Linked DNA regions of Xenopus tropicalis. The protein of the gene in region 4 purifies or fractionates together with the protein of the main gene of each other region. This does not show direct contact. Links are inferred from orthologs where the notes say so. Each region holds a gene or a part of one and is shown on either strand. Other genes may lie near its edges.

Region 1 (3,930 bases), on a different chromosome or scaffold from region 4:
GATCAGTACCAGAAATACAGCACTTCAAACTTCTACCTTTACCAAGAAAAGACCATCTGACATGGCCTATAGGTTTTAAATGGATACTATCATCACAAAAATCAACCTTATTTTGCTTGTACTACAAATTGTATATAAGCAGTAAAGTGCTACATTGTCAAAATTCCCGGTATTATTAATATTATTTCAATGTCCATTTTTTTCCTTTCTGCTGTATCACCTAACCTTTATCACCCCAGTGTTCTAATGTAGTTCTGTCACATGTCTTTTCAGTCAAAAGTTATCATACTAAAGGAACAGTAACATCAAAAAATGAGTGTTTTAAAGTCGGGCTGGGCGATATACCGTTTAATACCGAATACCGGTGTTTTTTTTTTTTTTAAAACTATATTCATTTTTCAGATACCGCAATACCGGGGTGTCAGGGTACTCACCCGTGCGGGCCGGTCTCGCGCGCGTCCCGTTGTCCGCGGGACGTTGCGCACGCGCGGCCAGGTGCGCGTGCGTCAAAGCACACGTACATGTCAAAGCGTGCACGTCCGCGACGCGCTGACGGCGCCGGTTCTGCGCATGCGTGGGGGGTATTTAAAGCTATCAAACGCCTCCTCCTGTGCTATGTTGTCTGCGGCCTTGCCTGGGAAACTAAGCCTGCCTGATTTACCTTACGACTTTCTTGTTGCTGATCCTTCGCTTGCCTGACTCTGATTTTCAATACTGCAGTAATTATTCTCTAATTTATTAGGAAATGGGGTTAACACCTAATCATGCATGGAAAAAAAAAAAAATACCGTCAAATACCGTGAAACCGATATAATTTTGAAAAATACCGTGATATAAATTTTTGGTCATACCGCCCAGCTCTATTTTAAAGTAATTAAAATATTATGTACTATATTCTTGCACTGGTAGAAGTTGTGTGTTTGATTCAGAAACCCAACTAGAGTTTATATAAACAAAGCTGATATGTAGCCACATGGGCAGTCATTCAATCTGGAAAAAAGGAGAAAGTGCACTGGTTACATAGATAACAGATCAAATCTTGTAGATTGTAAGCTCTTTTGGGCAGGCCCCTCTTCACCTCTTGTATCGGTTACTGATTGCTTTATATGTTACTCTGTATGTCCAATGTATGTAACCCACATATTGTACAGCGCTGCGGAATATGTTGGCGCTTTATAAATAAATGTTAATGTAATAATGTAATTCTGTCCTATGTGTTGTCTGCTACGTAACCTGTGCTTTTCTCCTTTTTTCAATTTGAATGGCTGCCCCCATGGCTACACAGCAGCTTTGTTTATATAAACTATAGCACGGTTCCCGAAACAAACACACAACTTTTACCAGTTCAGGGTAATAGTACATAAAATAATAATTACTTTGATACACTTTCATTTTTTGGTATTATTGTTCCTTTAAATGCAGGGGGTTATAAATTGTTCTTTGGGTCTTGTGTGATAGGTCTTGAGGCTCAAGCAAATTGGCCAGAAAAGGTAGCAGAGATTTATTGCAATTGCAGACGACTTACATCCCCGTGCGGCATTAGCCTTGTTAGTTGTAATCATGTAAATATGATGAGCTTAGGGAAAGGCTAGGCTGATTTGCTATACAAAGGGATGATTCCACCAAAAAATCTGTTCTTTAACAGACTATATGCCCATTTTTCAAAGCAAATGAACAATACCTAAAACATATAATACACCTGGCACTTATTACCAGTTTTCATAGTACTTTCATCAGAATCACTGAAGAATACAGATTAAGGGAACAATTTTTGATGAAAGAAACAAGGCAAAGTCACTCTCCTATTTTAATGAAAAGGCAAATAGACATTATTGTTAGTAAATAATTTCTCTTCATGATTTGATTTTCAGTATAATGCCATGCTTGGAGCTAACAAATGTAGTGTAAGATGTGGGTACAAGCTGCCTGCTGATAATTGAGAGCTCCCTTTCTGCAGCTTATGCACTGGTATTACATGTACAACTGCAGTTTATGCACTGGTATTACATGTACGACTGCAGATTAGAGGCTGTCAGTGCCAAACAGGAAGGCCTAGGATCCCGCACGTCTCACCTGTCCAGCGACTTCCTTGGCCGCAACCGGGATCCGTCCTGCCCTCTGCTCTTTCTGCAGCAGCTCAGGGTAACTAAATTCCGCACAGCCCTCCTCTGTGGGATCAGTTAGTGCCAACTCCAGCCTCACAGTCCCTGGCACTCGGGGCCGGTCAGCCCCCTCGGGTTTGGCCAGTACATGACAGATGCCAGTCTCTATGGCAGGAGCCGTGGGTTCCCGTTGCAGCCGGTGAGCCAGCGCTTGCTGGGAAGGCCTGTGCTGTAGCATGGCTTGCTGTGCGGCCCGGGGCTGCGGTGGCCTTTGTGCCGGCGGCTGCAGGGGAGGTGGGGTTCGCTGGTGCTGCTGTTCCACAGTCAGGACTGGGCCGGTCTCGCGTGGTTTCATGGGTGACAGACTTACAAACGGAACCCTACGCGGCTCCGCCATTCCTTCCTCTCTCACTCACACACACAGTCTCTCACAGCTGCCGAGAACAATTTCTTTCGCGCGTCCTGCGAGTTCCTCCGGTTTATTCACAGTCCCCGTACCAGGTGCAAACTTGCCTTCCGCTGGTGACGGCTCCCTTATTATTGTTTCCTAGCTGCTGCTGCTACCGCCGCCACCTCCTGCCCCACCGCTTTGGCCTCTCTATGTGCCGCTGCCATCTTGGACCCCACATAAATAATAACAGGTCCACTTACTATGGCGCATGCGCGCCTGGGAGCTGGGATGTGGGCGGGTACCTCTACGTCATTACGCTACACGTGCTGCCTTCTTCGCGTTTGTTTTACATTGTACGAAATCTACGCATTTTACGTTTATTACGGTTGTCATGGTAGCAAGGACGCGGAGCTCTGATGGGCTAGTGATTTAAAGGTATACTGCCATCAAACTGTAAAGGCTTTGCTTGTGGTTATGTAGTGAAAAATGTACCCCCTTATTATAAAAGATTATATAGGTCACCAGGAAGACGGTATAAAGGCAGGGGGGCTGAAGGCAGGGTGCTTTATACCTGTCATGGAACTCTGAAGTAACTTTATTAGTGTTATTATTAAACAATAAATTGGTGTATTCATTAAACATACAGGAGAACATACAATACAATCAATAACCAATACATTAGGTAAGCAGGCCCCTGCTCAAAAGAGCTTCTAATATTGTGGCTATTTTACAGCAGGGGGCACTTATAATAATACACATGTTTCAGGGAGTCATATGACAGAAATGACATTACTAAGCACCAATTATAATTGATGACATCATTATGCACCATTTATAAGGATATGATTTACACAATATTCACATAGGGCTGTCACCTGTCTGGTTTTGACCTGGAAAGCCCAGTTTTCAGAAGGGTTGCCCGGTTCAAAACCTCCTGCCTGGTTTCCCAAATAAGGAAAACCGTCAGGATTCAGTAACTGACGACAACAATCACCTATCGACAAGTCATAGCCCCACCTCTTCCCCGCCCCCTGCCTGGGTAACAGAGCCAGCAGAGGTGGCAACCTCATATTCACAGCTCTTCTAAAATATATTGTGAATAATGTACCTCCTGTTGTATAATGTAAGGATACTGTTAGTCACTGGGGAGTTCCATAACCTAACTGATGATATTACTATGCACCATAATCTACAGGATATTCATGGCCCCTTTGTGTTATAATGACTTATATACTCTATAGTTGTAAATTAGTTTGTGGAAATAACACTTTGGTTATATATTGAAAAAAATCAGGGAATAGGCTCCAGGCTGCAAACCCATTAGAAGGGTAAACATGCATACACTCAACCCATCTATTTATTTGGTTCTTATTCCTGGCATCATATACTCCATTAGAGCCTGGCTACAACAGACACTTCCCTGGATGTGCTTGGATC
Region 2 (4,030 bases), on a different chromosome or scaffold from region 4:
CGGTATATGGGGGGCTGATCAGTCGGTAATTGGGGGGCTGATCAGTCGGTATATGGGGGCTGATCAGTCGGTATTATGGGGGGCTGATCAGTCGGTATATGGGGGGCTGATCAGTCGCGTATATGGGGGGCTGATCAGTCGGTATATGGGGGCTGATCAGTCGGTATATGGGGGGCTGATCAGTCGGTATATGGGGGCTGATCAGTCGGTATATGGGGGGCTTGATCAGTCGGTATATGGGGCTGATCAGTCGGTATATGGGGGCTGATCAGTCGGTATATGGGGGGCTGATCAGTCGGTATATGGGGGGCTGATCAGTCGGTATATGGGGGGCTGATCAAGTCGGTATATGGGGGCTGATTCAGTCGGTATATGGGGGGCTTGATCAGTCGGTATATGGGGGGCTGATCAGTTCGTATATGGGGGGCTGATCAGTCGGTATATGGGGCTGATCAGTCGTATATGGGGGGCTGATCAGTCGGTATATGGGGGCTGATCAGTCGGTATATGGGGGGCTGATCAGTCGGTATATGGGGGGCTGATCAGTCGGTATATGGGGGCTGATCAGTCGGTATATGGGGGGCTGATCAGTCGGTAATGGGGGCTGATCAGTCGGTATTGGGGGCTGATCAGTCGGTATATGGGGGCTGATCAGTCGGTATATGGGGGCTGATCAGTCGGTATATGGGGGCTGATCAGTCGGTATATGGGGGGCTGATCAGTCGGTATATGGGGGGCTGATCAGTCGGTATATGGGGGGCTGATCAGTCGGTATATGGGGGCTGATCAGTCGGTATATGGGGGGCTGATCAGTCGGTATATGGGGGGCTGATCAGTCGGTATATGGGGGGCTGATCAGTCGGTATATTGGGGGCTGATCAGTCCGGTATATGGGGGGCTGATCAGTCGGTATATGGGGGGCTGATCAGTCGGTATATGGGGGGCTGATCAGTCGGTATATGGGGGGCTGATCAGTCGGTATATGGGGGGCTGATCAGTCGGTATATGGGGGGCTGATCAGTCGGTATATGGGGCTGATCAGTCGGTATATGGGGGGCTGATCAGTCGGTATATGGGGGCTGATCAGTCGGTATATGGGGCTGATCAGTCGGTATATGGGGGGTGATCAGTCGGTATATGGGGGCTGATCAGTCGGTATATGGGGGGCTGATCAGTCGGTATATGGGGGGCTGATCAGTCGGTATATGGGGGGCTGATCAGTCGGTATATGGGGGCTGATCAGTCGGTATATGGGGGGCTGATCAGTCGGTATATGGGGGGCTGATCAGTCGGTATATGGGGGGCTGATCAGTCGGTATATGGGGGGCTGATCAGTCGGTATATGGGGGGCTGATCAGTCGGTATATGGGGGGCTGATCAGTCGGTATATGTGGGCTGATCAGTCGGTATATGGGGGGCTGATCAGTCGGTATATGGGGGGGCTGATCAGTCGGTATATGGGGGGCTGATCAGTCGGTATATGGGGGGCTGATCAGTCGGTATATGGGGGGCTGATCAGTCGGTATATGGGGGGCTGATCAGTCGGTATATGGGGGGCTGATCAGTCGGTATATGGGGGCTGATCAGTCGGTATATGGGGGTGATCAGTCGGTATATTGGGGGCTGATCAGTCGGTATATGGGGGGCTGATCAGTCGGTATATGGGGGGCTGATCAGTCGGTATATGGGGGGCTGATCAGTCGGTATTTGGGGGCTGATCAGTCGGTATATGGGGGGCTGATCAGTCGGTATATGGGGGTGATCAGTCGGTATATGGGGGGCTGATCAGTCGGTATATGGGGGCTGATCAGTCGGTATATGGGGGGCTGATCAGTCGGTATATGGGGGGCTGATCAGTCGGTATATGGGGGGGCTGATCAGTCGGTATATGGGGGGCTGATCAGTCGGTATATGGGGGGCTGATCAGTCGGTATATGGGGGCTGATCAGTGGGGGCTGATCAGTCGGTATATGGGGGGCTGATCAGTCGCAGTCGGTATATGGGGGGGCTGATCAGTCGGTATATGGGGGGCTGATCAGTCGGTATATGGGGGGCTGATCAGTCGGTATATGGGGGGCTGATCAGTCGGTATATGGGGGGCTGATCAGTCGGTATATGGGGGGCTGATCAGTCGGTATATGGGGGGCTGATCAGTCGGTATATGGGGGGCTGATCAGTCGGTATATGGGGGGCTGATCAGTCGGTATATGGGGGGCTGATCAGTCGGTATATGGGGCTGATCGTCGGTATATGGGGGGCTGATCAGTCGGTATATGGGGGGCTGATCAGTCGGTATATGGGGGGCTGATCAGTCGGTATATGGGGGGCTGATCAGTCGGTATATGGGGGGCTGATCAGTCGGTATATGGGGGGCTGATCAGTCGGTATATGGGGGGCTGATCAGTCGGTATATGGGGGGCTGATCAGTCGGTATATGGGGGGGGGGCGGTACTCACGCCGGATTTCCCGCTCACTCATTCTCAGCCCGGTGCCGGTGCCGGTGCCGGTGCCGGTGCCGGTCACACAGTTCCCAGTTACTAATCGGACCGCAGGTGACGTCAGAGCGTCTCAATCACGTGACTTTCGGCGCTTTATTCAAATGAGGAGTTTTTCCCGCCCCGTGAAACTATTTATAACGGGAGCGGCACTGCCCCGGGGCTGCTGAGAGGGTTCGTTCAGCTACACACGGACTCCTGAGGGAATCGGTACAACATTGCTACTGGCAGGGAAATGGGAGATTTGGCTCCACACAATATCCCGGGTCTCTGGCAGAGATGGGCGGGGTTATACAAGCGCTGTACTTGTGCCGGGGCATGATGGGAAATTAGCTTCGTTAACATAGCGATATCGCGCAAGGCATGTCGGGATTTGTAGTTCCTTAGGGTTCCTGTGAGGAGCGCAGGGGCTTGTACATTCCCGGGATTCTGCCGGGAGGTGATACGTTTGGGGCAGGGGGAGAGTGTGTCTGGCACCCCCGGGGGGGGGAGAGTGTGTCTGGCACCCCGGGGGGGGAGAGTGTGTCTGGCACCCCGGGGGGGGGGGAGAGTGTGTCTGGCACCCCGGGGGGGGGGAGAGTGTGTCTGGCACCCCGGGGGGGGGAGAGTGTGTCTGGCACCCCGGGGGGGGGAGAGTGTGTCTGGCACCGGGGGGGGGGGGGGGGGGGGGGGGGGGGAGAGTGTGTCTGGCACCGGGGGAGGGGGCAGGGGGAGAGTGTGTCTGGCACCCCGGGGGGGGGGGGGGGAGAGTGTGTCTGGCACCGGGGGGAGGGAGAGTGTGTCTGGCACCCGCGGGGGGAGAGTGTGTCTGGCACCGGGGGGGGGGGGGGAGAGTGTGTCTGGCACCGGGGGGGGGGGGGGGGGGGGGGGAGAGTGTGTCTGGCACCCCGCGGGCGGGGGGGGTGGGAGGAGTGTGTCTGGCGGGCACCGGGCGGGCGGCGAGGTGTGTCTGCGCACCCCGGGTCGGGCCCGAGAGTGGTGCTCTGGCACCGGGGGGGGAAGGTGTGTCTGGCACCGGGGGGGACGGGGGGGAGAGTGTGTTCTGGCAACCGCGCGAGGCGGGGGGGGGGGAGTGTTCTGGCACCGGGGGGGGGGGCGAGAGTGTGTCTGGCACCTGGGGGGGGGGGGGGGGAGAGTGTGTTGGCACCGGGCGGGGGGGGGAGAGTGTGTCTGGCACCGGGGGGGGGGGGGTGGGGAGAGTGTGTCTGGCCACCCCGGGGGGAGGAGGGGGGAGAGTGTGTCTGGCACCGGCGCGGGAGGGAGAGTGTGTTCTGGCACCCCGGGGGGGGGAGACGTGTGTCTGGCACCCGGGGGGGGAGAGTGTGTCTGGCACCGGGGGGGGGGGGGGGGAGAGTGTGTCTGGCACCGGGGGGGGGGGGGGGGAGAGTGTGTCTGGCACCGGGAGGAGGGGGGGGTGCATGCAGTGTGTCTGGCACCGGGGGGGGGGCGGGGAGTGTGTCTGGCATCCGCGGGGGGGGGGGAGAGTGTGTCTTGGCACCGGGGGGGGGGGGGCGAGAGTGTGTTCTGGCACCCCG
Region 3 (3,521 bases), on a different chromosome or scaffold from region 4:
CCATGTCTCAGTACAGAAGAGTATGTACTCTCTTAAAGAGTTTGATAAATTTATTCTAATCTGTACGAACAACCCACAGTGCTGGTTTCAGTTCCTAATGGGTCGCCCGTATGGGGTATCTTTTTACTAGGAACTTGGCACAGCATGATATTAGTGATGTGTCTTCGATATTCTGCTGCCACCCTTCCAAATATTATAAGAATCCCCTATGTTTAGCAGGGATCATGTATGCCTCTGAAATCACATGACATGGGCAAGTATCTGGACCAGTAAAAATGCCCATAGAGCCAGCCCATTAATGGCATACAGCAAATCAATATAACTGGAAGGGAGTTTGTATCTGAGAGATTAACTTAGTGGCCACTTGGTTGTACTTAAAGGAAAAGTAGAATTGGTAACTGAAGATATGTGTCAACAAGGTAAGGCAATAATTCTATATTACAGAAAGAAAACAAACAGCATGGCTTTGTGAAAGAATAAAGGCTGCGGCACTCCAGATGTTTTGAATGCAAAAACCATTATTTTAATGATGGCTTTAATATTTTGGTGTCACTATAAGTACATATTTTTGCTGATACAAGCTACATGGACTTTGGCAACAGTGTACCCTGCACTGCATAATACTGAAATATTTCCCTCCTCTGTTGTAGATGGCAAATCCAGTGCTAGGAATTGTTAAAAGTGATGGTGGGCTTTAATGATCAATTTCCCTGATTCCTAAGCCTTGGATTCTTAGATTTTCATGCCCTGGGTAACATTTGCATGGCCCTGGAAAGTTAACTAAGTGCTGAGAGAGCCGGGCAATTCCAATATTTACTGCACGTCGGCTCTAAACGCAAACAGGTCTATCATTAACAAAAGGCAGCTGAAGATTCCAGCCCGGTGGAAGTTCAAAGAGTCCAAGAGAACCATGACTGTAACAGTACACTGAGAACTGTACTAAGATTGCAGTCTGTTGGCAATATCAGAGAAAAGCTGAAGGCTATAGTGTGAAAGATCAGCGGCCATGCTTGTGATCTCTACGCCTGAGCAAGCCGCTCCACTATCCGCCTGTATTCCTCCACCAGCTGCTGATAGCTCTCCTCTAACTGCTCATGCTGCGTGTTTAGATCGATCTGGTTCATCTGGTTGGTCAGCTCTTCTGGCCGGAGGCACTGTTTCATCTTAGCCATCTCTCTCTGATTTTTCTGTGTAAACAAAGTTAAACAGTACAAATAATTATTTACCAATATACACAAAGCCACAAATAAATCCCCAGTTCTTTGAAAGAGGTCAACTTTTTAATCTGTCCTCCTAAATCTGAATAGGGATCGGCCTGCTTAGTCTGATAGCTGCAAACATAGTGGACCAATACAGGACCGGATCTAGTGGGCACGCAAATAAAACCCCTTTGCCAATTATAACATGATTCGATCCGATTATCAGCAACAGGGATGTCAACCTGGATCTGAAGGGCCACCCCTGTTCTGCCCCAGCCCTGCCTACTACTGTGCTCCCTTTTTCATTGCTTCAGATGGATTATGGAGGACTTTGTCTGAATATTCTATGAAAAGTGCAAGTTAGGTTTTGGGTGTGTATTATCTCTAGCAGGTGACTGAACTCTTCCTGTGGGCGATCAAGTGAGCGGCGTTTAAATCAAGGTGACTCCCCAAAAAACTGAAATCCATCTGCAAAACTGTTATCTTTCTGCATCATTTTAAATCCTGGCAGGAGGGACTAAAACATTAATGATACAAATTTTAAAAACTTCTACACAGCTTACACACAGCATACAGGAACTACATAACCCACAATGCATTGCACTGTGATGTTCCTTTCCTTATTAACATCACGTGTGCAGGGAATTGTGGGATTAGGAGGATGCAGGCTGAAGGCAGGCTGAGGACAGTCGACTACTGTTACATTTTATTTGAGTCTTAAAGTAGTCAGCCAGATCAGCAGGGGAACAGGGGTTGCATTCTCCTGTGTTCGGCTCTTACATGCGCCTGTGTCAGTACAACCCCATAAAAATGAATGGGGTGTGGTTCTCCCAGAAACACTCCCCTGTATGACCCCCTAAAGGGGTTTTTCCCCTTAAAATAACTTTTAATATACTGTAGAGAGTGCTATTCTAACACAATTTGCAATTGGTCTTCATTTATATTATTTGTGTTTTTTAAATTATTTTGCTTCTTGTTCAACTCTCCAGTCTGGAATTTCCGCACCTATTTGTCTAAATTACCCTAGCAACCAGACATTGGTTTGAATGAGAGACTGGAATATGAATAGGAGAGGGACTAAATAGAATAATGAGTAATAAAAAGTCACAATAACAATAGTTTTTGGCTGATGTGGGTCAGTGACACCATTTGACAGCTGAGAAGAGTCAGAAGGCAGTTGCAAATAATTTAAAAACTATGCTAAATAAAAAATGAAGACCAACTGAAACATTACTAAGAATTGGCAACTCTATAACATACTAAAAGTTAACGTTATACATTTTGTTCTATTCAACAATAATCTACAAAAAATAAATCTTTGTTTTGCAAAAGGTGCCTTATATCACCAAGATTTACCCCATTACCCCCCCAGATCCTCTGCTGATATTCATTAGTACACAGACACAAACTTATGCTGAGTAAAATATAAGAATGCCAAGAACACATTCCCTAAATACATACACTCGGTACAGATGTGACAGGAAATGGGGCTGTTTCCTCTTAAAATTACATCACTTAATCACTTGTCAGACGACAGTATGGGAGAACAGGACTGTTTTTCTATGGGTTCCTGATTGCGCAGGCAGGGAAAACATCTCTGGAAACTATTTACTTGTTGTGGGATAGTTAAAAATAACACTTTTCTAAATGAGTGAAAAATAAAAATAAGTGTGACTGTTACATTTTCATGTCTACAAGACAACTATGCCAAAAACAAGCAGTTCAAAGGCCAATTAGCTGTTGTTTTTAGCTAAATGAAGGCAGTTTGTAACTGGGTATTGCCTCCAGTTCAGTGTTAATAGGATACTATTTGTGCAATACATATAAGAAGTGCCCTAGATGTGCAGTACTGCTATATGTAATGTTGAGTTTAATCACATGCACATATTGGGGGTTATGTAATAAAAAGCACTAAGTTTCCCTGGGTGCAGTAACCTATACCAACCAATCAACAGGTAGCATTTACTGGTCACCTGTTTCAAAGCAAAAATCTTATTGGTAGCTATGGGTTACAAACTTAGTGCCTTTTATTACATATGGGGAATTGTGCCTTATAAAGGGAATGGTCTGTGTGTGATCTCACCTTAGGTTACTAAATCTAAAGTATTTATTCTGTTTGATCCCTATGTTTTTATAAAGGAAAATAATAAAGGACTTTTATTTCAACCCACTACTTCCTGGAGAATACATATTAGGGAAAAAGATCAGGTAAGAGGATTACTTTTTGTAATGTACCAAACAAACAACAAAGCATAATATATCTTTTATACCATGTCAGTATTTTTATCAACTAGCAAGAGATCATTTTGTTTGATGATGAGA
Region 4 (2,939 bases):
GCTTCTGATTGGCTGGTGGGCATGTGTATCTCAGACCAGGAGACAGGATCAAGTTACACACATGCTCAGAGAATAGGAAGGCTGCCGCTGGCACCTACAGGAAGGGGAAAGAGATTTCAGTGATGTCACTGTAGTCTTCTAACTGCTGTAGGCTGCCAGCACCATATCTCAGAGAGGCAAGCAGGGATCTGGGAATTTAGATATGCAGTAAGTACTTAAAAAGAATGCGTTTAGATTTACTTTTAATTTATATTAACCTTTCATTGTCCTTTAATACTGGATTAGAGTTGTTTACAAAGGGACTGCATATTTTTTTCCCGACTGTAGAAGAAACTATTTTATATCGAATGGCTAAATAGCCAACTGCTTGCTTGGCATTAGCAATTGTAAAATTTTAAAGATATAACACCCTCTGGTTTTCGCTTGAAAAGAAAAACCATGCAAAACATGTATTGTTTATAAAACCAAAACTGGTAAATAATTACCTTTTAACAAGAAAGTAAACTATAAAGGCATTATTTGTTGTAAGAATAGAATCCATCTGAAATAGATTTTATGTAATCAAATAGGATGTACTGTGGATGGCCCACAGTGTGCATATGTCAGGTCTGTGGTATCAAGCATAGATTTATTTCAGCAAAATATCAGAAAACAATACATCTCCAAATAAATAGCAAAATGTGCTGCAGTTGCATGTTCTAACTAGTTTGGAAAATAGCTGATAGATACCTGCCTTAAGCAGAAACAAAAATAATTAAAAATAGATTTTTTAAAAACTTTTCCCCCTAGTTCACATTTTGTTTCCACCCTTTGATAAAGGTTTCTGCCAAGGACATGTTTCCTGGTGTCCTATTTATTGGAAAATAGTGTTGCAAAGTGCAATTTTCCCATTGGCTTGAAAGTAGAAAGATGTAAAAGTAAAGTCACATGCAGTCCATGTGCGATTCTAGCATGACATTTAAAGAGTTCTCTGACATAGGCCATCCTTTTGAAGCTGAAGGTCTGGCTTCTATTGACAGTATTGGATGCAGATGAGGATTACTATCTTCAAGTTCATCAAGCTTCTCTGTATTTTCTTCCCAGTTTATGTGGAACCTGGTTACTCTAGGATTTGATGCCAAGATGTTCCTCTGAAGCTGCAGCAGAGAGAAAATGTAAATGATTTAAATGATAATTGAAAGCCTTTTAGGTTGAGGGTACATGGACTGTTGGTTCCACTGCCCTCAGCCTGCATTTTTTTTTTTTCAGGCTGAGAGAAGCGGAACGGCTCCCTTAACCAGCTCCATTGACCTGGACATAAAAGTAAAATTGTATGTACCATGCAGGCACACGCAGTAGAGGTTGGCTTGAAGATGCCTGCTTTTGCTTTTTCAGGCCGACCTCGACTCTGTTTGCAGTAGGAAACAACATGCGACTTTGGAAATGTTAGAGGTGCGGAAGCCTTTCCACCGGTGATTCACTTTATTTCTGATGGGAAGGCATTAGAAGCCACTGTAGTGGGTTTGTGTTGTGCACCATATTACTGCAGTTAGGTGACACTTCTGCATCTGTGCCATTTGATCATGATCCGCAATGTGAAGTCCCAACAATGCAAAATAAACATTACATCACCTGGCAGTTGTTTTTCAAACTATTTATTGCAGAGTTTGTAAATTCTTTACCTTGGAAAAGTCTGGTTTCACAGGAGGGTTTTCACGCAGTTCTGTTTCTGTATATTCATTATTAACATAATAGCCCACTCTGATAAACTCTTGATCTCTGTATGTGCATGTGATAAGCACCACTGTTACACCAATGGCATCTGCGTCTGGTATAAGGCCTGAGTTGGGGGCATCAGCCTAAACAAAGATGGAGACAAAGCAGTTACAAATGTTCTCTGTCAGAATCTACTGTTCGGCTCCACACTGATTCTTCCTTAAAGGAGAAGGAAAGGCAAAGTCACTTGAGGGTGCCAAAATGTTAGGCACCCCCAAGTGACTTTAATCGCTTACCTTGTACCCCGAGCTGGTGCCCCTGTTTGGAGAGAACAGCACCAACCCGGGTGCCTGCAGCAAGCGCTTCCTCTTCCTTGTTCGCGCTCGTGCATGCGCAGTAGGGTGAAAAGCTGAACTTTAACAAGAAGTCACCTTTTCACTCAGGTATTTTGCCGGCAGAGCAAACACGGAAGAAGGAAGCGCTCCGCTACAGCTACCCAGGGCTGGTGCGGTTTTCTTCTAACAGGGGCACCAGCCCCGGGGTACAAGGTAAGCGATTAAAGTCACTTGGGGGTGCCTAACATTTTGGCATCCCCCAAGTGACTTAGCCTTTCCTTCTCCTTTAAGCTTCAGAAAAATTGATTCTCTAGGAAGCAGATATGATTAATTAGTGGGGCTTGATATTTAGTTTTTTCCCAGTTACTGAAGAATCTGTACATCTCTGCCTAGTTGGTCAGAATGTGTAGTACAGCTGCCACTACATAGTACATCCACTGTGCAGACTAATTCCTGTACCACAAGTAGCAGATATTTCACTGCAATTTTATTACAGAGTGCATATCTATCCATTACTAATCTGCAAGATGCCATTTCTTTCTAGACACTTGGGACTAAGGGCTGTGGCACATGGGGAGATTAGTCGCCCACGACAAATCTCCCCGAAATGCCATCCCACCGGCGAGAATGGAAATCGCAGCACTGCATATGCCATCCCACCGGCAATTTACATTCTCACCGGTGGGATGGCATTTCCTGGAGATTTGACAGGAAAAAGTTTGAAGTTTGACAGCCACATAGCAAGTACACTTTTAAGGGCTTTGGTACATCGGGAGATTAGTCGCCCGCAACAAATCTCCCTTGTCGCGGGCGACTAATCTCCCTGTGTGCCAAAGCCCTTAAAGTGTACTAGCTATGTGGCTGTCAAACTTCAGTGGGGAGCAGTCCTTGACATGTTATATATTGACA
Region 5 (3,500 bases), on a different chromosome or scaffold from region 4:
AGAGAAACAACATAAAGCTGCTAGAATGGCCCAGTCAGTCAATCACCCAACTTGAACCCAATTGAAAATCTATGGAAAGAACTGAAGACCAGAGTTCATAGAAGAGGTCCCCGGAACAGTCAAGATTTAAAGACAGTTTGTGTGGAAGAAAGAGCAAATATCACACCTGAGTAATGCATGTGGCACATGAGGCACCTTGAAGCTGTCATTACCAATTTTCTAATTTGTCACATTTACTAAGAAAATTGTTCACATGTTCAATACTTATCTTCCCTGCTGTATAAGGTAAACAACCTACAATTTGAAGAATTCTTACCTTACCACTTGACTGTCCCCAGGCCTTGATTTGTGGTGAGGCCACAAAGGCCCGGGTGGCACAAATTTAGGGGCGGAATGCCGCCCCACAACGAAATTTTCTCCTGTACGGAGCAGGGACGTCACCCCACTGTTCTGTATGGGAGTTTAAATGCCCACACCAGCAAGCTTGCGAGGGGGGGGGTGTTTCGCCGGGGCACCCGAAACATAGGAGAGTGCAGACTATAATACTGTTCTTCACCTCAAATTTGTTTTTAGATCTATTAAATTCCACCCAGTGCAAGACGACCCTTTGCTATAATACTCACTCCAGGGCTTCAAGCTTCTCCTTTTTTTTCTCCTCCTTTAGTCGCAACTTTTCTGCCTTTTCTCGGTCTTCTCTCTCCTTTTTTTCCTTCTTGTCCCTTTCCCGCTGCTCTCTCTCATCGTCCCTCTTCTTCTTTGCAAGTTCTTTTGCAGCCCTTGCATCTTCTCTAGCACGCTTTCGCTCCTCCTTTTCAGCTTGCCCCTTTTCTTCCTTACCCTAAGGATAACGAACGGAATGACAAAATAAGACAGCTGTTTTGCTCGCAAATTTCTGGTTGTGCATGAATTATATTACAGCATACTATAAAAATGGATAGGTAGTTCTCAGAATTTTAGGATTACGTCCACACCATAGAGGTAGAGGCAGAACACTGACTTCATCGGACTACTACATCTAGGTTGTTGTATTGGTAGGTGTTATACTAAAGCCTGCACACACACTGCTGGGCTAAACTTACACGCTGTACACTTGTGTTCATGTGCTGCTGCATAAACAGGAAGCAGGACGTTAAGGGCATCCAGTGCTCTCAAGGGATATAAATTCTGTGTGTATCTATAATCTGCCTCGTTTTTACTCATTTTCCCCCTGATGAAGACCCCATAAATATGCAGTTGGCAGCTTTTTACAGCTATTTTGTAATGCAATAAAAGTTTGCAGTTCTATATTTTTGGGTATGTACAATACAGCAGATATGAAATTAGCTGCTCATTCTGTAAATTATAGGTTGGGCGGTGGGGTGTAGATCAGGAATACTTCCAGAAGTTGGAGCTACACCTCGCACTATAGCTTACATGTTGGGTGCACTTGAATGTAGTAGTAAATAGTTTAGGTAAGCAGGAAGGCACACACTTGATCAAGGCACACCAGATAGAAAGTTAAAATAGGTTTTTATTTTGATTATTTCTAAAATTGGTTAAAATAAACTGAAAGGGGAACAGGAAAGGTTAAAAGAGGTAAAGCCCTATGTTTGTTAGAATAGAGAAGGTTTCGCTTTCACTATTGCAACATTATAACATTGTTGCAAGTGGAAATTAGATTACTATAGTTGCTACTAAGAAAACCTTTATAAAGATTCTACAAGCCTGAAATGAATAGGTCACACCGTATCAATTGTTGGAAGTTTACATATGTTGGTGCAGATTTCCTACGGTGCGTAAAAGATTCCTCACAATAATGCCTCAGGGATCATTTATCCGCTTTCCATCATTTACACAAATACTTTCTAAATATAGATGTATGGGAGTTAAAGTTCACATTATTCTACCATACTCCAGTAATTAGCTCTCTCGCTGCAATATTGGAGAAAGGTAAATGTTTTTAATACGTATCCACCAGTTAGGTCTTAATTTCACCACAGCACTAGGAGGGATTGAATTGCCGATTACAGATAAATCTAATTTATTAATGCACTATATGCAGAGCTCGATCAGAGGTTAGCCCTTGTTTCAGTGTTCTAATCAAGTACTTTGGATTGATACACTGGGACAAAATTACCCTTTATTCTCAATTGAACGAGATGGCTCACTATATTGGTCGGGAATTATACCAAAAAAGCAAGGCGGGGGTCAGGCTAGTGGATCGGCTATTATCTTAAACGGACGGTAAGTATCATGTGCAGAGGCTTGATATACTACGCACTGATCCGTTTATCACAGAGAGCTAGTTATCAGTACTTTGGGCTACCGGATACACTTTTTTTAGGCTAAACGGTACACACCATCTTTATTCCCAATTAGACAGGGTAGCTCTCTGTAGTGCCCGGAAAGTATGCTACGTAAGCTGAACAGGGTTCAACCTATCAGTTCAGCTATTAACTTAGCAAAAGAGTCAGTATCGTATGTGCAGTCTTAATATACATCGTGCGGGGCCACTTATCCTAGCGGGCTAATTATCGATGCTTCAAGCTGGCAAGTGCATCCTTTTTTAGTTTGTTCAGTGCTATTTATGCTGCTCATGCATCGACAAACCCGGAAGTAACAGATTTTTTCACTGCCGATACTCCACAGCCAGCCCGGGGACTACTTACAATTACAATATACCGCTAGTCCCGTCCGGCAGGCCGCCTATATCAGGCATTATCCGCAACTGCTACTGTGCTTGTATGCTAGTCAGAGGTACAACTCTTAAACTCTCCGATCGTGCAACAATGACGATATGACCCCCGCTCATACACCTAAATGTCTCGGTGCGGTCACCTTATTCAGGCATAATTACTTGGGGGTATCATTAAACCTGTCAAAGCTTAAGCTCTAAAAAGCGGCTATTTGTATCCCTTGGCAGCCATAAACTGGTGCCGTCAACATTAACTGTCCCTATTCTCTTCAGTGCCTGTCATTGCCATTAATTTAACATCAGTACAAAGATCAACAAACAAAGGGCTTAGGACGCCGACACGCGTTTCGCATATGCTGCTTTCTCAAGGCGAACTGAAACTGAGCTTTGCATTTTAGCAACCTTTTTGCGGTATCTCTTTAGTTTACATAGAAGTGATCAAGCTAACTTTAACTTTATATAGCAGTCCACTTTTCCTTGTAATTCCACTTCAACACGATATAGAGCTCTAAATACCAACAGGAATAAAAAATGTTTTAATATTTTTCATAAGAGAAAAAATAGGATATAGACAAAAATATAAAAACTATTTTACGGAGATTTCTGCATTGTATAAAATAAAATATCCCCTTAGCCTGATACCCATTGCCAGTTACTGCAGCATGCTTACCTGTATACCTGAAGTATAAATTCAGACAAATGAAAATATTTTTCTAACTACAAAAATGTAAATTTACAGTGTTAAAAAGTTCAACTCAGCAACTTACCCATGCAAACACACAACTGTTACCAGGGCAGGGTGTATTAGTACATAATATATTATTAC
Region 6 (3,500 bases), on a different chromosome or scaffold from region 4:
AGACAGATTCCAAGAATTGTATGACCTCAAGCTGAACACATAAATGTCAACATTTTATCATTTAAAAGGCCTTTTCTTTAAAAAGTTAGTAGTCCAATCTGACACCTCGATCCCAGCCTCACCATGTAATTAATCAAGTAAACAGCCTTAAAATTTGTCCCAGACATATCAACCAATCAGATCAGATTCTTTACTTTCATAATTCTGTGTGGACTAGACTGGTAAAATCTAACTGGTCACTGGCTTCTGTGGTTAGTGAACCAAAGCAAACATTCTCTCTGTGTTACTCCATGAACACTTAAAAATAAATGCACACTGACAGGGGCTTGTAAGGAGGAAGGCAGAGTTATATCCAATGAGTAGCAACAGGTAATATATTTGACAAGAGAGAAACAAGTGCTGTGCTATGCATGCTTAAACCTGGGGACATGAACTTTCAACCATGTACACACACAGACAGACAAAAGCTCACAACCACATACAAACACACATTTGCTCACAGAATGGCACCAATGGCCCATCTCTGACCTGCTTATGCAAGTACAAGCGCGTGGCCCATTTTACCAGAGTGTCTTTGCCACAGGGTAAGACTGATGCCAGATGTGAGAAGACTGCCAAACGGAGAGAGGAGCTCAGTTCCCGGGATAATAGATATATGCTGTGGGAACAGAAAATTCTGGTTAGTTGTTGTAGAAGCACTTGGCTTATAGTTTAGAGTTTTTTTATGAGCAAACCATAATTTAACACATGTAAACTGTTTGCAGAATTTACCGCACTGTGTGCAGAGGAGGAGTAGATGTCAGTAAAGGTTAATATGAAGATGGGAGTAGCGATCAGTTAAGGGAAAGATGAGTGGGGGTTGGTAAAGAAAAATGTGTAGGAGTAGGAGTGAGCATCAAACGATTGTAGAAGGAGGAAGGGTTACTAAAGAGTACAGTTATGCAGTACAGTAGACATTATTAAAAAAGTATCACAATGCAGAATAAAGACCCCCCCCCCCCCCATCTATCATTACGGGACTACTCAGGGTTGAGTGCTCAGGGGAGGATCTTGGGTAAGTAATGTGCTGTGTTTGTGGAAAGTGATACTTACTCAAGCAGAGCGCTGTTCATCTCCTGGGAGAATAACAAACCTTTCTTTTCACCCTCTGATGCTCTTACAGCCTAAAATTAAAAAAAAAAAATCTGTGGGTTGCATTACTGCTAAAAACCATGATGGTGACGGCACGGCTAAAGGCGGATGGAATATTTTTCATCAGCCAACAATTGGCCTGAATGCATTTTTACCAAAACTAAAATAGATAATTTTACTGACCTTTGTCAGCTCCTTGATCCTTTTCTCTAGGGCGAAAGGTAAGCCTTCTGGGAGAGATGCAGGTGCTTTAGTGGCCTGCTCTGATGCTGTCCCACCTTGGACTCCATGCTTTTTCTCGGGCAGGGTGTTGGGTACATTCTCTATCGGCTTCTCGCTTATGGAGTCTATGGCACTGACAGCTTTGAGCAGCTCAGACACATGAGACGACATGGTGGGATCAGGGGTCAGCTCAGCCTCGCGTGGAGTTGGCTTTGGAAGAGTAGGCTGCTGGCTAATGCCGGAGGGCTTGACGGTGGGAGTAGGGGTTGGTGGTGTGATAATGGTTTTTTGAGCATTTTTCTCTTGCTCAAATCTCGCCAACATCTTAAAGATAGAGTGCTTCTTTTTCTTCTTATCTTTTGTACCATTTAAGGCTGTGAATCTAAACATAAAAATGTCCAATTAACCTTCATCTCTTCATGACCACTCACTGAATCAACCATGCAGAAATATGAGCAGGTCCCCTTCAATCCTATTGGACAATCCCTTAAATACAGTGGTGTTGCCTAGTTGCAAAAAAGCATGGTGGGATGTGGCCCATCAAAAGTAGCCAACGATAAAATCTATAAGGCATAGCCTTAGGAAGAGCCCCTTTTAAGTTTGCTTATATTGCATATATATATTAAACTATCCCAGCATTCTTATTTTATCCCTTTATATTAAGCACAACTTTTCAGGAAATTGTATATACTGTATATTTGACCTTTAATGATACAGTTTCTTTGCATTTTTAAAACGTGCTGTGGCAGTCTTAACCAAAAACTAGCCATGATATGTTTCTATGGCTGGAAGCAGGTGATCTGCTCGTAGATCAGAAACCCCACTGACTACACAGACAAGCAGAAGAGGGATGTGTTTGTACCCTGGCTTTGGATGTTTGTTTTTTTTGGATTTCTTATCCTCTGCTCTTTTCTTCTTCTTCACTTTTTCACCCCTGTCCTTAATTTTCTGTGGAGGCAGAAGCAAAACAAAAAACAGGTCATTGATTGATGCAACTGGGAAGAATGCCTGTAACGTGAGCTTTACCTTGGGTGATTTCTTCTTCTTTTCCTTGGAGGCTTCATCTTCTGACTCAGATGCCTGCCTGAACTGCAGCGTTCCTGAGTTGATGTAAAAGCCCCCGTACTTGGTTGACAGCGAAGCAGGTACTAGCTCATCATACTAAAAGGATACAATAATATACATGTTTACCTCTGGCAGGTTTTCACTTTACTTACGGATTGGATTCAGAACATCTAACTTTACAAGTTTTGGGTAAATCAGTCTGAGCTGTCATGTGTTGACTGTAAGAGTTTTACTTGTTTATACTTAACCAAATGTGTTTTAATAAAAATGAATTCCTATTATAGAGTCAGGGGGTATTTATATTTTCTCTTTATTACATGTTTCTTACGCATGGTCAAATGAGCCAGCTCTGGCTTATAGCAGAGTAAATTCAATAGAAGCCCCCTTTCCCCCAACAGACTAGGGGCACTTACAGGCTAAACTGTTCATCCAAGCACTTACACATTAACACGCAACACCTATGTAAGTATTTATTCATTGTGCATGTATAATATAGATGTTTATTACATATGGCTGCTTCCACAAGTGATTTGCCTTCCTCTTCTAACTTTTAAATGGGGATTACTGACCCCAGTAGCTAAAAACTCATTGCTCTGTGAGGCTACACTTTTATTGTTACTTTTTATTACTTATCTTTCTATTTAGGCCCCACTCTATGCATATTCATGTCTCAGTTTCAAACCACTGCCTGGCTGCTATGTTAAATTGTGCCCTAGCAACCAGATAGCAGCTGAAATTACAACTTGGCGAGTGGCGGAACAAAAAGCAAAAATACTTCAAAAACTGCAAAAAATTAAAAATGAAAAACTGCAAATTTAATCCCATGAAAACCTGGGCATAATAACTTGCTCCTTTATAAATTTGTAACTCACCGCCTCAGAGTTGTCTATAAAAGAGTCCGACTCGTCGTACCCATACCCCATGTCAATAAGGTCCTGCATACGATCCCTGCGCCTCTTCTTGTTTCCCTGGGAACATGGAAATATGGCTTGGTAACTAACCGATGCACAGCCTATTGATTTGCTTGCATTTGCCATCTAACCTTGAACCCCTCCTCCTCTGACCTTGGTGCCAATGACCCA

What was found.
Region 1: the proteins of asf1a (region 4) and ubn2 purify together in Homo sapiens (affinity purification with mass spectrometry; 3 studies listed by BioGRID and IntAct, counting the BioPlex papers as one, with this or other methods). This does not show direct contact. The link is inferred for Xenopus tropicalis from reciprocal best matches to the Homo sapiens genes ASF1A and UBN2.
Region 2: the proteins of asf1a (region 4) and tonsl purify together in Homo sapiens (affinity purification with mass spectrometry; 4 studies listed by BioGRID and IntAct, counting the BioPlex papers as one, with this or other methods). This does not show direct contact. The link is inferred for Xenopus tropicalis from reciprocal best matches to the Homo sapiens genes ASF1A and TONSL.
Region 3: the proteins of asf1a (region 4) and hat1 purify together in Homo sapiens (affinity purification with mass spectrometry; 4 studies listed by BioGRID and IntAct, counting the BioPlex papers as one, with this or other methods). This does not show direct contact. The link is inferred for Xenopus tropicalis from reciprocal best matches to the Homo sapiens genes ASF1A and HAT1.
Region 5: the proteins of asf1a (region 4) and chaf1a purify together in Homo sapiens (affinity purification with western blotting; 3 studies listed by BioGRID and IntAct, with this or other methods). This does not show direct contact. The link is inferred for Xenopus tropicalis from reciprocal best matches to the Homo sapiens genes ASF1A and CHAF1A.
Region 6: the proteins of asf1a (region 4) and ubn1 purify together in Homo sapiens (affinity purification with mass spectrometry; 6 studies listed by BioGRID and IntAct, counting the BioPlex papers as one, with this or other methods). This does not show direct contact. The link is inferred for Xenopus tropicalis from reciprocal best matches to the Homo sapiens genes ASF1A and UBN1.

What each region holds. Positions count from the first base shown.
Region 1 is NC_030680.2:114,756,116-114,760,045, reverse strand, and holds the start of ubn2 (ubinuclein-2), read right to left. Parts: upstream 2,801-3,930; 5' UTR 2,500-2,800; coding exon 2,074-2,499; intron 1-2,073.
Region 2 is NC_030682.2:152,183,646-152,187,675, forward strand, and holds the start of tonsl (tonsoku-like protein), read right to left. Parts: upstream 2,801-4,030; 5' UTR 2,479-2,800; coding exon 2,457-2,478; intron 1-2,456. UniProt on the Homo sapiens protein: Component of the MMS22L-TONSL complex, a complex that promotes homologous recombination-mediated repair of double-strand breaks (DSBs) at stalled or collapsed replication forks.
Region 3 is NC_030685.2:67,566,726-67,570,246, forward strand, and holds the end of hat1 (histone acetyltransferase type B catalytic subunit), read right to left. Parts: intron 1,188-3,521; coding exon 1,020-1,187; 3' UTR 501-1,019; downstream 1-500. UniProt on the Homo sapiens protein: Histone acetyltransferase that plays a role in different biological processes including cell cycle progression, glucose metabolism, histone production or DNA damage repair. Coordinates histone production and acetylation via H4 promoter binding.
Region 4 is NC_030681.2:73,630,910-73,633,848, reverse strand, and holds the end of asf1a (histone chaperone ASF1A), read right to left. Parts: intron 1,839-2,939; coding exon 1,662-1,838; intron 1,137-1,661; coding exon 924-1,136; 3' UTR 501-923; downstream 1-500. UniProt on the Homo sapiens protein: Histone chaperone that facilitates histone deposition and histone exchange and removal during nucleosome assembly and disassembly.
Region 5 is NC_030677.2:93,808,671-93,812,170, forward strand, and holds part of chaf1a (chromatin assembly factor 1 subunit A), read right to left. Parts: intron 839-3,500; coding exon 624-838; intron 1-623. UniProt on the Homo sapiens protein: Acts as a component of the histone chaperone complex chromatin assembly factor 1 (CAF-1), which assembles histone octamers onto DNA during replication and repair.
Region 6 is NC_030685.2:14,418,055-14,421,554, reverse strand, and holds part of ubn1 (ubinuclein-1), read right to left. Parts: intron 3,387-3,500; coding exon 3,291-3,386; intron 2,515-3,290; coding exon 2,216-2,514; intron 1,736-2,215; coding exon 1,315-1,735; intron 1,164-1,314; coding exon 1,093-1,163; intron 659-1,092; coding exon 529-658; intron 1-528. UniProt on the Homo sapiens protein: Acts as a novel regulator of senescence. Involved in the formation of senescence-associated heterochromatin foci (SAHF), which represses expression of proliferation-promoting genes. Binds to proliferation-promoting genes.